2 linked regions of the Oreochromis niloticus genome follow. The protein of the gene in region 1 purifies or fractionates together with the protein of each later gene. This does not show direct contact. Links are inferred from orthologs where the notes say so. Each region holds a gene or a part of one and is shown on either strand. Other genes may lie near its edges.

Evidence for each region. The genes of interacting proteins can lie anywhere in the genome.
Region 2: the proteins of potassium voltage-gated channel subfamily A member 1 (region 1) and kcnab2a purify together in Homo sapiens (co-immunoprecipitation; 3 studies listed by BioGRID and IntAct, counting the BioPlex papers as one, with this or other methods). This does not show direct contact. The link is inferred for Oreochromis niloticus from reciprocal best matches to the Homo sapiens genes KCNA5 and KCNAB2.

The regions. Positions count from the first base shown.
Region 1 is NC_031981.2:22,387,612-22,395,328, forward strand, and holds the start of potassium voltage-gated channel subfamily A member 1, read left to right. Parts: upstream 1-4,707; 5' UTR 4,708-4,733; intron 4,734-7,036; 5' UTR 7,037-7,717. UniProt on the Homo sapiens protein: Voltage-gated potassium channel that mediates transmembrane potassium transport in excitable membranes. Forms tetrameric potassium-selective channels through which potassium ions pass in accordance with their electrochemical gradient.
Region 2 is NC_031970.2:18,705,502-18,713,376, forward strand, and holds the start of kcnab2a (voltage-gated potassium channel subunit beta-2), read left to right. Parts: upstream 1-4,875; 5' UTR 4,876-5,303; coding exon 5,304-5,515; intron 5,516-7,875.

The DNA of each region.
Region 1 (7,717 bases):
TCAATTAAAAAACCCTCTACACAATCAGTTTTCTATCCCTTCCATCACACCGATCCATCTCAGGTGGCGTCCCACCCTTCTCCTCCCTCCTCTCCTCCCTTATCCCTCCTCCCTCTTCTCCTCCCTCCTCTCTTCTCTCCTCCCTGCTCTTCCCTTATGACTCTGATGTCTGTGGAGAGCAGCAGAGGTTGTTGTTATTATTTCTCTGAGGCTGTAATCCCCTCTCTTCCCCCCTGCAGCCTCTGTTGAGTTATTGTAGATTTGACTGTGTGTGTGCGTGTGTGTGTGTGTGTGTGGTTAATATCCTGTGTAGGCTGCTGTGAACAAGCACAGATTTTCTTTTTGTGATCTGCTTCCCCGAGGGCCTTTGAACACATGCAGACACATTGAGGTGGGTGGGATGGAGGAGGGGAGGCCCTCACCCTGTGTGTGTGTCTGTGTGTGTGTGTATGATGGGGTTTACCCAGGGTGCACGTTAAAGCTGGAGGTGCAATACGTGACCAGTGGAGACTGATGATTGGCCCACAGCTCCTCCAGTCGCAGTCACCTTTTTCCATTCCATACAGATATATATATATATGTAGATAGATAGATATTAGTGCTGACAAAAGTCATTAGTGCTGACAGCACTAATATATATTTCCTGTAATTAATCTGTAAACAAACACTGATTGTTTCTGTCTTGGTTTTGGGGTGTTTGATGATTTTTCCCAAACTGAGCTGAATTCCTAAACAAATGTTCAGTACTTTAACTCCAACATTATTTACTTCTCCATGATTAAAGTGTTAGCACTTTACGAGCTTTGAGTGGAACGATTCCTGCAGGAAAATCCCTCGAGGTTTCAGGTATGAATCCAGAACCAGGTGCAAGAGAAGAAAAGAAACCCTGATGTGAACCACTGACCTGTGAGCAGCAGGAATGCTCGGCAGCTTTTAAATGTTAAAAATTAGTATCACGGGAGCTCTTGGTTTTTAAAGCATTGAGCATGAAAGTGTCCTCTAATTATGTTTATCAAGCTAATATTTGTTTAAAGCTTAGCTGATTGTGGAGTTTAAAGCTTTGAGTTTTCTTGAAGCAAACCAGCAGACCAAACAAAGTTTTTCAGCCCAGCAAGACATTTCTGCTCAAATGGAGAAAAGAAGTGAAGCAGAGGTAAGGGCTGATCTTCATCATCATCATCATCATCATCAGTGCGCCTGCAGCCTCGCCAGGTAAATATCCAGCAGCCCTTTCTGTGCAAGCCGGTGTGCTGAGAGAACATCACATCACGCCTCAGCGTCAGCTTGCATCACAAATGCAAAACAACACGCTCCTCCTCGCTCTGCTGCAGCATCCTCTGTCCACTCCAGCTCAGCGCTGTGATGTGTACTCTCATGCCTTAGCACGCAAACCGGTCCTCACAGAGACAGAAGTACAAGCGTGCACACACACACAGACACACACACAGGAGGAGGCAGATAGATAGGAATCCATTTTAAATTGCTGCCATGTTGACGCTGATGGTCAGTTTTCCTGCAAGAATGATCTCAGACTGAATTTCAGACCACAATGCAGAGCATCCTGAAGGACCTGGACTCCAGATTCCAGGATTCCAGGACTCCAGCACTGTTTTAATGAGCTACATCGTCAGCCTGAATAAACGCTTTGCCTGTTTGGGCTGAAGCTGAACTTGGCCTCCTCCTACACATCAGCATCTGCTCACAGGCTTGCTGACAAATCTCACCAAACCAATCACACTAACAAATGCTGCCTCGACCTCCACCAAGCACTCACACACACACAGCTCTTTAAATCCCTGCTCGGCTATATTTCTCAGCACCGATTTCCAAATCCATTTAGCAGCATCTGCAGCCTTTTCTGCACATAATCTGCGTGCGCGCTCTAAGCCGCCACAGAAACTGTTACTTTAAATGAGTGGCACGCATGACGTGGTGTCCTTGATTTTCCTGCTTGCACATGTCCTCTCTCTGCGTTATTATGCAGGCATCTGCTGTCAAGACTTCTTAAACTCATCACAGTGCTCCCCCCTCCACGCCACTCTCTGCATGCAGCCCTGAGCCTAAACACACTCACATATATTTAACACACACGCATGCGAGCACTCCGTGTGAGACGTGCGCACACACACGCACACACACACAGATGTGGTGATGTGAGGTTGGTGACGCTCCCTCAGGTGTTGCAGAGTCTGACTCAGGCCTACTGTCATCCCAGCAGTGCTGCTCGTCTCCACACGGGCACTGAATCTGACGTTTCTCTGCTACTGTACCCACACACACACACACACACACACACACACACACACACACACACACACACACACGGTTACGTGTCTGGAAGAACCCACGCAGATAAATGTTTCTGGAAGAACGCAGAACTTTGCTGCTGTTGTGCTCTGAGCTGTTTCTCATGTTTTAGACCCAGTTTTGTGTGTTTCTTTGTCATCATCGTCCTTATCCACATGTTTGTGTCCTTGTCTCCTGGTTTCCATTTCCTGTCTTTCTTGCCTGTCGCCTCTGATTCACTGATTGTTCCCACATCTTTCTCATTCTTCCTTCAGCCCAATGGAGGAGTCGAGGAGAGGAACTGAGGAGGCACAATCTGAGAAATAAGAAGGGGAGTAGTTTTGTGTTTTTCCTTCATCATTTTCTCTGTTTATGCTCATCACCGTCCTCAGGTGTTCCTCCGTTCAAAGTTTTTCTCTGGCTTGTTTTGTTGATGCTCTGCATGCTTTTGTGTCCTCTCTGTGACCTTCATTTCTTTGTCAGGGGGACAGAAAGTACTTTGATGACTGGCACCAATCAGACGGACAATCCACCCTGCCCTGCAACAAACCAAAGAACAGTATTCATATGAACACACGATAACGTGATAACAGAGACAGCATCAGAGAGCTGCAGCTGTAGATATAAGCAGGTGTTATCTGCTGTTCATAGGCTGGAGGGTGAATCATCCAGCTGTGCTCCGGCATTTATTTGGGGTGTTTTCATCCCTTTTGTGTCCTTTTTGTTTCATAATGCTCGAGTTGATTGTTTCTTTTGTTGCCTTTATTTGATAACAGAACAGTGAAGACAGGCAGGAAAGTGAGTGCAGGTCAGACTCAAACCCAAGCTGCCACACTCCAATCATGTGGCTTATGGTCACCTGTTCACCGCTGAGCTTTTCTCATTTCTTCAGCACTGTCGTCATCTCTTTTATTGTGATGGGTTTGTTATCTCTCAGTCCTCTTATTAAATAACTGGACAAAGTTAAATTGTTTGCAAGTTTGTTGGTTTTTTGTTGTCTGTCTGCTGTAGCATTATTTTAGCTAAGGCTGGTCAGTCTTCCAGGTGTGGACCTAACCACAGATGCCAGAGAGTAAGAATACTGTGTGCTGATCGGAGGAGGCAGGAACTTATAACCAAGAGGAACCAAAGTCCTAGGTGAGGTGTTTCAGGCACTGGGAGGAGACGCTGGAGCAGACCCAGGACATGGTGATTTGATCTGGGATAGGAACTAGAGCAGCCTGTTCGATGGGCTGGACATGGAACCCCAAATTGTTCCTGATGGGTTCATTGGAGTGAATGTAAGATAGAAACTACTCTGGCTGCTGAAGCAGAGCAGAAAATGACAGCTAAATAACAACCAGTCCTTTAGGTCCTTTAGGAAGGCCTCAGTGTCTCCCAGAGGAGACTCTTCTTCTCCAATGACCGGAGCAGACGAAGTGTCCGAAAGAAGATGGAACCAAACTGAACACACAACAAGCTGCTCAGAGCCTCTGGATCCTTGTAACACTTACTGATCTTTAAACAGATGAAAAACTGGTGCTTCTCTGCTGCTTTAACCACACACACTGATTTCTTCTGTTTGACTTCTGTTCCACTCACACAAACCCAGTTCCACAAGCAGACAGTGGATCAAGCATCACATCTGTTGCTTTAAATTTCCAGCTGTGAGTCTCATTCGTGGTCTCCAGTAGTGCTCCCCCTCGGTTCACCCTCCGCCTGAGAAATATTCTAGAGTTTGATACAATCATCATGTGATTTAGATGAGCGAATCTTATCCTGTATTTAAAAGTAGAGATGCTTGTCTCTGTGCTTCTTCTGTGTTTAAATGAGAACTTCTTTGTTGTGTAGCTGACCTGCAGACCTGATGCGTGTCTGCAGTTTTTTTAGAAGCTGTGTTGTTGTTATCAGCTGCAGCAGTGGCTCTGAACTGTGTCTCTGTAATTAGAGAGCTAATTTGTGAGCTGCCGTTGTTATGGATGCTGGTTGTTAGTGGTTACCTGTTGTTATGGTTACCGTTTCCCTGTGTAGCTGGTAACAGGACCTGAAGTACCGCAGAGTGGGACTCAGCTCCAACTCCTACACATGTTCATCAGGATGGCTGAGGTTTGGGACATTCTGTGACTGAACCTCCGTCAGTAACACAGCGGGATGCTTTCAACTCGGAGTTCAGAGTTTGCACACCTCAGGCCTTAAAAACAGTCATTTGGTTTTTTGGAATTGGAATGGAAATGGAAATGAGGATGAAAAAAAATCTGCTGTAAAATACATAATCAGTTCAGTTGTTTGTTTGTTTTTTCAATTTAAGCTAATACTACAAAATAAAAAGTTTATATAACTACATAAATCCGCTCTCCTTCCACTGCCCTGAAGGAACAGTCACTGATCACAGTCACGTGCAGGAGCTGTTTGTGTGATGGGGTTTTTTATTCAGCACCTGAAATCTGTCAGCAGCTGCTGCCAGAAAGGTTTGTACCTTCATGTCCGTCACAGGATGATTCCTGCACACTTCCTTCAGAACATCTTCATGTTTTGCGGGTGCTTTGCCAAATTGAGCAGACCCGGCTAAGTCCAGCCTGTGCCGGTTTGGTTTTTCACAGAGACATTCATATTGGCTCATACACAACTGAGTAAAGCACAGGACAGAAAACCGGTTGGATATTTTGATTTCAGTGACCTCGGGCTCAGGGTGGAGTTTGTTGTGCTGATATAGTTATTTATGTGTTTTTTCTTTTGATGTGTCTTTACACGCCTGCAGCCTGGTCTTAACATTTTCACATGTATATAAAATTATGCTTAAAGGTCAGCTCGTGGAGGCATAACATTCAAACCTGAGGTGCAGAATTTGTTATGTTCATCGTGTCAGGATATAAGGTTGGACCAAGAGCTTTTCAGATGTAAACACAACCACTCCAGTGTTTGTATATTCTTTATGTAGCACTTGTGAATGCACCTGCTGCCATGACCACCGGTCTTAAGAGAAGATTTCTCATAATAATAGAACACCGTTTGACTTTAAAGCCCTCCTTCCCTCTGGGACTGTGAAACCTGCAGATCTGTATCAGACACATGTGAACATCACATTAGAATGCAGCAAAATAATCTCTCATCTCTGTGCTAATCATCTGCTCTTTTTTCATGTCCCTGTTTGTTTCTGCTTCTCCTCCTCCCCCCCGATTTTATACCTCACAGCATCCAGCTACAGTTTCATGTTTTTGGAGCGCCCGCATGACAAACATGATAAAGTTTATTGTAAAAACCTCCTAATGGCTGTATCCAGTGCGTGAAATCGCTGCGTTGCCAGTGGCCAGTCACACAGTGGGATGGGTGATGGTGGGTTATTATTCATGGCTGCAGGAGTCTGAGAACAGTGCATTAATCCAGGGGCGGGGAGATGCACAAAGTTCTTATCATGATGAGGCTGTGGCATTAGATAAGGAAACGGATAAATATAGTGCTCCTGCTTTGTTTTGCTAATCCACCCACAGGGCTGAGAAACTAACCTTTTAAATAGGTCGCCCTCCTCTGCTTTTAGAAACAAGCGCTCTGGCTCTCTGTGTCCACCGGCGTGCATCTGCGTGTCCTTTGTAGCATTTTGGATGTTCAGTCGGTGCACTCTGGACGGAACTTGGTTAAAGATCTTACATTAGAGGTGAGGTAGCAGGAGTGGTCTCAGTGGTGATGCTTCTTAAACCCAGGAATAACTAGGAATTGCAGTTTGTATTCTTCTTATTTTATTATTATTTGTTTTTTGTTATTAATTTCAACCATAAACAGCACCGGAGCGTTGATCGCACCCTGACAGTACAATCAAGAATCCTCAGTCTAATCACGCCTGCATACTATCACTCATAAAAAAAACCCCATACCAATTATATTTGAACAAAAGCAGTAGGATAACGTCAGACACAGTTTTCTGTTTTTTTTTGGTTGATTTAAACGACCCTGCACAATAACTGGCCTGGCTCTGCTGGAGGTTTCTTCTTGTTAAAAGGGACTTTTTCCTTCCCACTGTCGCCAAAGTGCTTGCTCACAGGGGGTCATATGATTGCTGGGTTTTTCTCTGTATGTATTATTGTAGGGTCTACCTTACAATATAAAGCACCTGGAGGTGACTGTTTTGATTTGGTGCTGTATAAATAAAATTGAATTGAATTGAACTGAACTGAACTGAACTAAGTCTGTGCTGCCTTGATTGGAAACACTGCTTAGATGTTGTGCTGCGTATAGGTTTTTTATACTATAAGAGCCAGAAATCAACACCTGTGTCTGAAGAATGGAGCTGATTTTCCTTTTGGGGTGTTTGTAATGAATAATCTGACCAATAATATGGCTGCTGTCAGGTTTTTGTACTAGCACAACACTGAGCAGTGACTGAAGTTCTCTTGACTTCAACAGCAAGATACTGAAAAGCACAAGAAACAAAATATTCAAACTTATCATGAATTTTTCATAAAACCAACAAAAATAATGAGAACAGACACAAAAAGATGATTAAATGCAGAATAAACTCCACAGAACACAGAAACAAGGATCCTTCATGATTACAGCAAAAACAGAAAATGATGCTCCAGCTTGTTGCTGGTTAATGATTACAGTGTTGACATAAAGACTCACATGGCTGCATGAGATCCAAACATGATAGTACAAGAACTCACTTCAACCATAAACTAACAGCTGACCAGCAGCGGTGGGCTGATGGGGATGTGTCTTTATGTGCAGACAAACATGAGCTTGTGTTCTAAAGAAAAGCTGTATCCATCTCCCTCAGAGCCAGCAGGATGAGGCAGAGTGTGGCCCCAGGGCCGAGCCAGCAGCAGCAGAGCAGCAGAGAACATGAGCATAAAGGAAACAAAGAGGCGCGCATGAAAGCCGCGAGTCCATGGATGCCATCATGTGGAAAGCAGGCCTTTATGCTCACACTGTAAGGAGATGGATGTGTGCGCAATAAGGAGATCTGAAAGCTTGCACACGTGTGCTGCTGTGGCAGTAAAACACACAAAGGAAGGTCTGATGTTGTGTAAGGAGTGAAAATAAAAACAAAATCACAGAAAGAAATCACCACATGACCTCACAGCATCTCAGTTTATTCTGTTTTTCATCTATCTGAACTCTGAAGCATCAATTTGTGTCCACAAACACCAGCGAGGTCATCTGAGGTTGTGTTAGTCAATGATAATCCTCACTCCTGTTAGGGGTTATATACAGACACCAAAACAGCTTCTGCATCAGCCTGTCAGTATGTTTATGTTAACAGGACTTTGTGAGGACTGACTCACCACTGGTGCCTCTGGTGGCCGGCAGAGGAACAGCAGCTTGTGGTTTCAGATGGAATTTTATGGTCGCTGTCCTCCGCAAACAGTCGGGCTTCAGGCCTGAGTGTGCAGGCAGGTTGGGCTGTCTCTTTATTAGGAACCAATGCAAGGAGATCAGAGAGGGCTGACAGGGAGAG
Region 2 (7,875 bases), on another chromosome or scaffold:
GAATCTGCCATGTTCACTGGAGAATTAAAAACTGCAGCACTCGTTGCTCGCAGATGTGACCATCACTCTGCTGTTTCCCCAGGAAATCCCAGAATCGCCGAAGAGCTAGACCTAATTTTCTACATTTATTTGTATTTTTGTGATGGCTATTCCAAATCTCCAGTACATCTTTATCACAGTTGAGTTCATTCAGACCATGAAACGGTAGAGAAAGAAAGCAGTCTTGATGCTAATATAACACATAAACAGCAGTATTCCAATTTCTTTAATTACATCCTCATTATAGTGATTCAATTAGAAATGTTCAGACACAGCCTCGGGATGCATTAAGCTGTTAGAAAAGCATCTGTCGATCAACACTGCCAATCTGTCTGACTTCACCTCTCTTTCCATTAACTCTCTTAAGCCCTTTTACACACACACACACACATCATCTTGGGGATGCTATACTTTTCACATGGTTACTCAAATCCTCACAAATGTGTGGAGTTAAACTCCCGGTAAGTGGCACTTAAGCCACCGTTGGATGACTGGCTGACAGTTACATATGATACAGGTGTGGTAATTCTGTGTGGCTGAGATCCCTGAGTAAGCTTTTGTTAATTAGCAGTAAGATACTGAATGTGCACAGAAGTCTGAGAAAGCATGAGATGAAACGCTTAAACTACTTTTGACTTGATATTCTTAAGCTTTATTCTGATTACCCATCTTGAAGAACTGGGTATTCAGAATATAGCTGGATAACAACCCTGTTTAATTGTATGCTTAAAGGGAATCGTTATCTGTGTTGTAGTCCTTATAGATGACTACAAAAAGCCTTTGCTTGCTAAACTAGCTTGGACGGATTAGGTCTACAGACTTGCTAGTTCACGTACCGATCGCAGCTCGACGCAGACGGTCTGCCCCTGAAAGCGAATTAGTGAAAGACTCCGTCTGACACTCACGCCAGTGACAAATGTCAATTTTGGAGGTCCTTTTCCCCTTTCAGCCGCCAAGGGCATTCTTTGTGTTTTGTGCTCAGTGTGTGGAATTGATTCGGAGAGCCAGTGCCTATTTTTAGAGATAAGACTGCGGTTGTGCCGAAGAATCAGTGCTCACAACAGTACCCAAGAGTACTTCTGTGGTCAGAGAAATTTCTGATGCGCCGTTCATTATAGAAGTTGTCTTAGCTGCAGTATATGCGCTGTAGTTTGGAAGAGAGCAGTTGTCTGAGCTCCTGTACGGCCAGAACAGACTCCTGAGGCTTCATTATGGCATAGCAACATCGATGGGCTTAAGCCTCTTTCTGACCAAGGCTGTTGAGTTGAGCAGAACATAGTCAATAATTTTGATTGTGTGTGTGTGAGTTCTGCAGTAGTCTTTTTCCAAGTTTTGCTAATAAAGGATGTAAGACTGGAAGAAGCGGAATACATTTTTATAGCCGTTTGTGTGTATTTACAGCTGTTACATGGCGAATTTGAAACTTAATGTTGTTCTTCAGTCTTTTGTTTTCTTTGTCTTCTCTCGCCTGAAAAAGGGCGCCGTTATTGGTTTTGGCGAATTTTAGTCGACTGCAGTCGTGATCAGGGAAGCACACATGTTCTGCTCTGAACATTCAGCTTATCTCTCCTCTTCCTCCCCCACACACTGAATGAGGTACAGGGCCCTAGCAGTCCTCTGCATTCACTCACTGTGATATTTTAGAAGCTCAGTAGATTTTTTTTGGGATATCCTCAAATCAGTCACTTAATCAAAGTGAGGAGATTAAGGCCCCCACACAAGAAAGGGCACTGTAATAAGATTTGCTCAGTACTGCTAACTAACAACCAACTACTGAGTCCAGATCTAACAGTAGGAACTTAAAAGGTTTACAGGTGTTGTTTGGTTGTTTCCTTTAAGCATTAATCTAAAAATAGCTCTTTATTGCTGCAGAACAGTTTAACACGGTCGGAGCCACCCTGCTGTGTTCCTCCTAAACATATTGTCACTAATTAGCAATTTAACAGCTACACTCTAAGGCATTATGTGAAGATTAGAGTTACTTATTTTTAGTACATCATCGTTACGACTGATTTATCTTGCAACAAACAATGAGTAGAAGTTAATTCATTACAGATGTTCTCTATGATGAATGAATACAAAGCAGCTTAATGCTCAGGCCAGTTTTTGCTCGATTGTGGTCTGATTTCATCAGAAATCCTGGTGAAAGTGTGCATGAAAGACTGCAGGAGATCCTGAATGTGCACACATTTGTTCAAAATGACTTTGACTCCAAGTTCATTACCAAGCCAGTAGGCAGTGTGACCACTGCAGTGCAATTTGATGCGTCATCCAAGTGAAAACTTGAGTAATGAATTAAACGCTGAGGTGGTTTATTAAGTTATGAGTAACTGATGAAGTCTTCCCCTTTGGCATTGTCTTGACTCTGCTGTAGAAGTGTTGCATGTTGAAAAAGTGAAACTAGGAAGTCTTTTCTTTATTTTTCCTGAAGAAAGGAGGGAATAAAAGGTTTTACTTATCAGCTTTTCACTTGACAGCAGTAGGTGTATACTCCTAAAATATCTGTCAGGCATGCTCACAGCAATGCCTGCTAACATTTCTTAAAGAGAACAGTCATGTCATCATGCAGCGATTAGGTGTCAGTCATAGTTAATGATTTCTTTTTCTCTTCTCCTTCTCTCTGGGCTTTTGGTCCTTTTTTTGTTTTCCAGATATAGTCAGAAGGAATAAAATACGTACTGCCAGTCTAAAGAAAGTTGGCAGATGTACCTGTGGCGAATTATTAAATCATAGTAAATGTGACAAGCATGATTTATTGGATTGAACATATTTTTTGTTGGTGTATTTATAGATCCTGTTGTATTTGTTAATTAGAAAGCGTTGGTGTGTGTGGTGTCATTTTTAGTTTAGACATTTTACAGGTCTCTTAAAATGAACATTGACTGTTGCAGTTTAGTGTTGGTGGTGGGAGTTGGACAGTCTGCAGAAAATGGCAGGAGGTGCAGTAAGTTAAATATGATTATAGAGGATTATATTGATTCCTTTACCTTTAAAGAACATGTAGATTTCTAAAATTGAATAAGTAAAGTGTTCCCACTAACTTCCTGTGACTCTGGGAGTTTAGTCAAGGTTCAGTGTAGATGTAAAGGTTGATACTGTATCTGACAGCATGAGCTCGTGTTCCCGGCCTTTCCCAATTCTCAGTACCTTCCACATGTCACGACTCTTGGGGGTCCTGGAGTAGAGCAGCGTGGATTGTGGCATCATGTTTCTACCGCAGCGGTGGCAAATGCATAAACCATACCCTGTGCTAAAGCGGTGTCTTGGTGTATTCAGCTGCTCTGTTAAAAATGAGCTGACATTGATGGTGAAGGGAATGTACCCAAATCTCTTCCCTGTCACCCTGACATTGAGTATGATTAGTATTTTGTCATTATATTTCTCACGGTCTTTGTGGCAGGAAGGAGCATTCAGAAGGTCATTTGTAGCTTGTTTTCTCTGCTTTCTGTCCACAGTGTGAAACTTAAATCAGATTTCAGTTCAATTAGACCACCTTTTCCCCCTCAGGGCTCTATTTAAGTCTAGGAGACCAAAAGGTCGCAAATCTAAGAATAGGGCTGTCAGTTAGCAGCAGCCTGTTTGCTGGATTCCTTTGATGGAGGGTTTCTTCTTTGACTGCTTTACTATACGTGTCTGCTACTGATGGCATCTCTTTTAATTATCTCCTTGGCACACTCACTGATCCACTCAGATAAGCTTCAGTATTATATTACTGAGAGTGTGCTTCTCATCTACTGTCTCATCAAGCTGCAGTCAATGTGGTGTTTACTTTTCAACCTCCAACCATTATCGTGTTTCTACTGTTCACTCTTGCATGTTCCTCCGTTCACCTGAGCGTGCCTGTTACTGTTAATCAGATCCGTTTCTAATACGTGGTGAATATAGATGAAATGATGACGTTTTGTTGTACTTGTTCTTGATCAAGCTTATTTTGCTCGGTTGAAATTGAAAAGATACAGTAGTACACATCTACGCGCATCACATGCCTGTCTTTAATATATATTGTCATAGATAAAGTTGCATAATAAATGTTTCATGGGCAGTTGAACAGACCCACGTGAGAAACCCCTTTTCTGGGGCAATAGGCAATGCAGAGTCTTGAGCATTCATCCTTCCTTTTTTTTCTCCTGACAGAATAACTAAATGAAATCACACTGCAGGGCAACAGACGACAGATAAAGATGAGCACAGAAATGCACCACCCTGTCTTTGTAGAGCTGCTATAAACACACAAGATTTCAGTGCATTGCTCTCTCACGCTGCTCTCTGAATATTCCTCCTCATAGCTTCTCTTCATATCCCTCCCACCACAACCCCCCACCCCCTCGCTCTCTCGTTCTCTCTCTCTCTCTCCCCTCCCCTCTTCCATCCATTCTCTCTCTCCCCTTCCATCTCTCTCCTGTGTGCTCCGTGCTGCTTTATGCTCAGCACAGGGCATACAGATGTAAGTTTAATCCAGGCAACAGTGAGAGGTGAATATGAGGTTGCCCTTTTACTAACATGCAGTAGTATTGAGTCGAATATGCATCAGCCAGCGTAATTGCCGAGGCGGACCTAGAAGGACAGATGAAAACCTCCTGGATCTGTGTGTCGTGTTTTATTCTTTCAATCTCTCTGTGTGGATCTACGCGTTGCCACTCTTAAAGCTTGGCACCAAGAGGTGCAATCTCTAACACTAAGCTCAGTTTTAAAGAGGAAATTCCAAGACTCTGAATCTGCCTGCAAGCTTTTGATTAATAGAAAAAGCAAGAAGAAGACACCCGAGAGAATCGAGGAAAAACTTAGTGGGGAATCAGCGTTTTTCTTTTTTTTTTTTCCTTTTTTCCCCCTAATTTTCTTATTACTTTAAAAGAAATTGTTGCTTTATCCACTGCATTGTGTCAGACTTGAGTTTCATGTCTAAAGTCTGCAGTGACTGCAGGTTTCTATAATGTTTTGCTTGAATTTGGACTGCGTTTGCCAGGACTTTATTTTCACCTGATCAGCAATCCATCACCATTTTCACACATTTCCTCTGCCCTCCCACCCCTTATACCTTTTGTTTTGTTTTTTCTGCAACATTTTGTGCTGGACAGTCACTCTATAGACTGGGCAGTGATTTCTTGCAGAGGCTTAGTGTGAAGCTTGATTCTTGTGAGTGAACAGTCTCACATTCCCGAGAGGATCCTTGGGCTCTGCACCTCTTGGTGTTTTCCTCTCCTTATTCATAAAGAGGAGAGTTTAATTAGGGAATCTGCAGTTGGGACAGTCGGCCAGGAGCCAGAATGCAGGTGTCATTAGTGTGCACGGATCATCGTGGTGGGGTAAGCCGCAACACGGAGGACCGGCTAAATCGACAGAATGCCAACAGCCCCAGCACAGGCACCCGCAGCAAGTTCAGAGCAGTGGCGATGGTGGCTCGGAGTCTTGGACAACTCTCTGTGCAGAGCGTGCCTTCCTCCAGCGAGCAAAGTGTGAAGACTGGCATGAAGTATAGGTAGGGCATGTCTTAACAGATTTGAATCTGGCTAAATACCAAAACTTCAAGACATTCAGCATTTAAATTGCCACATCCAATCAAAGCAGATTTTGAATGATGGTGGCTGTCAAATTCTGTGACTCCACCACGACTACTTCACCAAAAATGGATGTATTGTTTTCCCCTTTGATGTGCTAATTTGATTTTTTTATTCCTTTCCGATTGATGACACCTGCCACGAGTTAGTTATCAAAATCAGTTATTTAAATTTACCTAAAACTTTAACTATTGAGCAATGAAGAAAAACTGTAATTTTAACTGATTTTATTTCTATTTAAGATGCACTGGAATACTCCCTCTGTAGTTAGTTACTAGTAGTTAGATACTAGTACTTTCTCGTATTATTATCTGTAGTGCACTACTTAATACTTAAAACTACTTAAAACAATAATGTGGTAGTACCACAAGTATCACTGCAGATTGCTTTTAACTTGGTGTAACTAAGTTGATTGTATTTCAATTCCCAAACTAAATAAACTGATGGCAGCTGTCAATCATTATGGAAAGAGCATGCTAATGGAAATTGCCATTGAAATCACTGAAAAACATTAACACGTTGCACTTTGGCTTCTGCCTGCAACATTATAAATGTTAATAAAATACTGCATTGAATTTTATTCCACCTCCCCAGACAGCTGGTTACTGATCATGTGCTGGTAAAATAGTTTCTTCTATCACTTAAGGCAAATTATTTAACCCGTGTGGTGGACATGAAGACTGATGACTGTTTGTTATCTAACACAGGACATACTTACCATTTAAGCAAAGGTTTTCCTTTGGAAATGCCTTTAAATTAAAATGCAAATGTGTTCTACATGTGCAGTGAAACGTTCAGATTAGTCCAGCTTTGACACAAGGGCTGAAAAAGCAGCAGAATAATAGTAAATGTGGAATTGCTTTAAATGCATATTGAAGCACTGAGGGTAAAAGAGTGAATGGCAAATTGAGCCGTAGTACAGAACAAAGAACTCTGCATGCATCAGTGAGAAAAAGCAGTTCACCTTTCTTTTCAGCACCGTGAGGTGCAGCACATCATGAACTGCAGCAATCTGGTCATTAATGCAGTGGATCTGCTTTGCATAGGAGAGTTGATTCAGTGTTGTCAGGACTTATTTTTAAATAATGACTCTCTCTGTATATTTTCCCACATGTGACTCAAAGATGATCAAAGGTCGATAAGCTTATTTAAAAGCAAGAAAATTTAAGAGCGGTATGAATATTTAAAGGAACGTTTTATCCATTTAACTAGCAAGTTGCTGTTGTCTGCTATATATAAGCACTGACTAATGTACTTTCTTCATGTAAGATATACTTTCTCTTTTTAAATGTTCTTGTTTTAGGTACAGTGATTAAAAAATTTAGTCAAATATTTTTCTTGACTCAAGCCACGTTTGATACGATACATGGACGTTTGATTTTTGCAGGACAATATAGGAAAGTAAAAAATACCCTATCAAGAACATTTTTTTTTCAATTTTGATCATTTTATTAGTATAATAGCATCTTAAAGCTCAAACCTAAAGGCAAGAAAAACTGAAGGTAATGTCGTGTCAGTCAGTGTACATTTTCATTAAGAAATGTGAAGTGTGATTGTTGACTGACAACATGGAGAGCTGTTTGGAGGCAACACATCCATCCTCAGTACTGTTTTCAGAAGCCACATCACAATCCTTTGCATCTAATTTGCTAGCGGCAGCCTCGTCGTCTTGGCGCACTATCATTATTGAGGCTAATGACAGTGAATGAGTAAAATCATTTCCAGCTCAGGGGGCCAGTGGCTGTTTGTGTTCTTCTCTTCCTCATTGTAGTTCATACTACATAACTGGCTCGGTGTTTGTGAACCAGACCCGTATCTGATGTAAACTGAAGGTAATGCAGGCCTAAATGTAGCATGAGGCTCAAAGAATCATGGACTGAGGCTACGACATAGTGTTTGTGGTTTTGTTTTGAAGAGATGCGACTGAAAGGGAAGGAAGGAAGGAGGAGAGTGAAAGCAAGAAAGGGAGATTGCTAAGGTTAATGCTGGTGTAGGCACTTTGCCCATGAGGAAGTACAGTTGGCTGGAGTGATCTGTGCTCATGTCACTTTGAAACATGCCTCTTGGAGGTGAAGCTTGCAAGCTCTTTAAAATGCGAGGCCATGTTAGTTTTTATCCTTAAGCATTTTCTCCTCTCTGTTAAAGAAAGATTGAATTTTTCATTATGCCGGTTTGACAGCTGAAGAGGTTGGTGGTTTTATAACTGTGGCCCAAAAAGAATACAGTTAAAGCTGCCTTATCCAGCCAACAAAACTTCCCCGAGTATCCTCACTGCAGAATA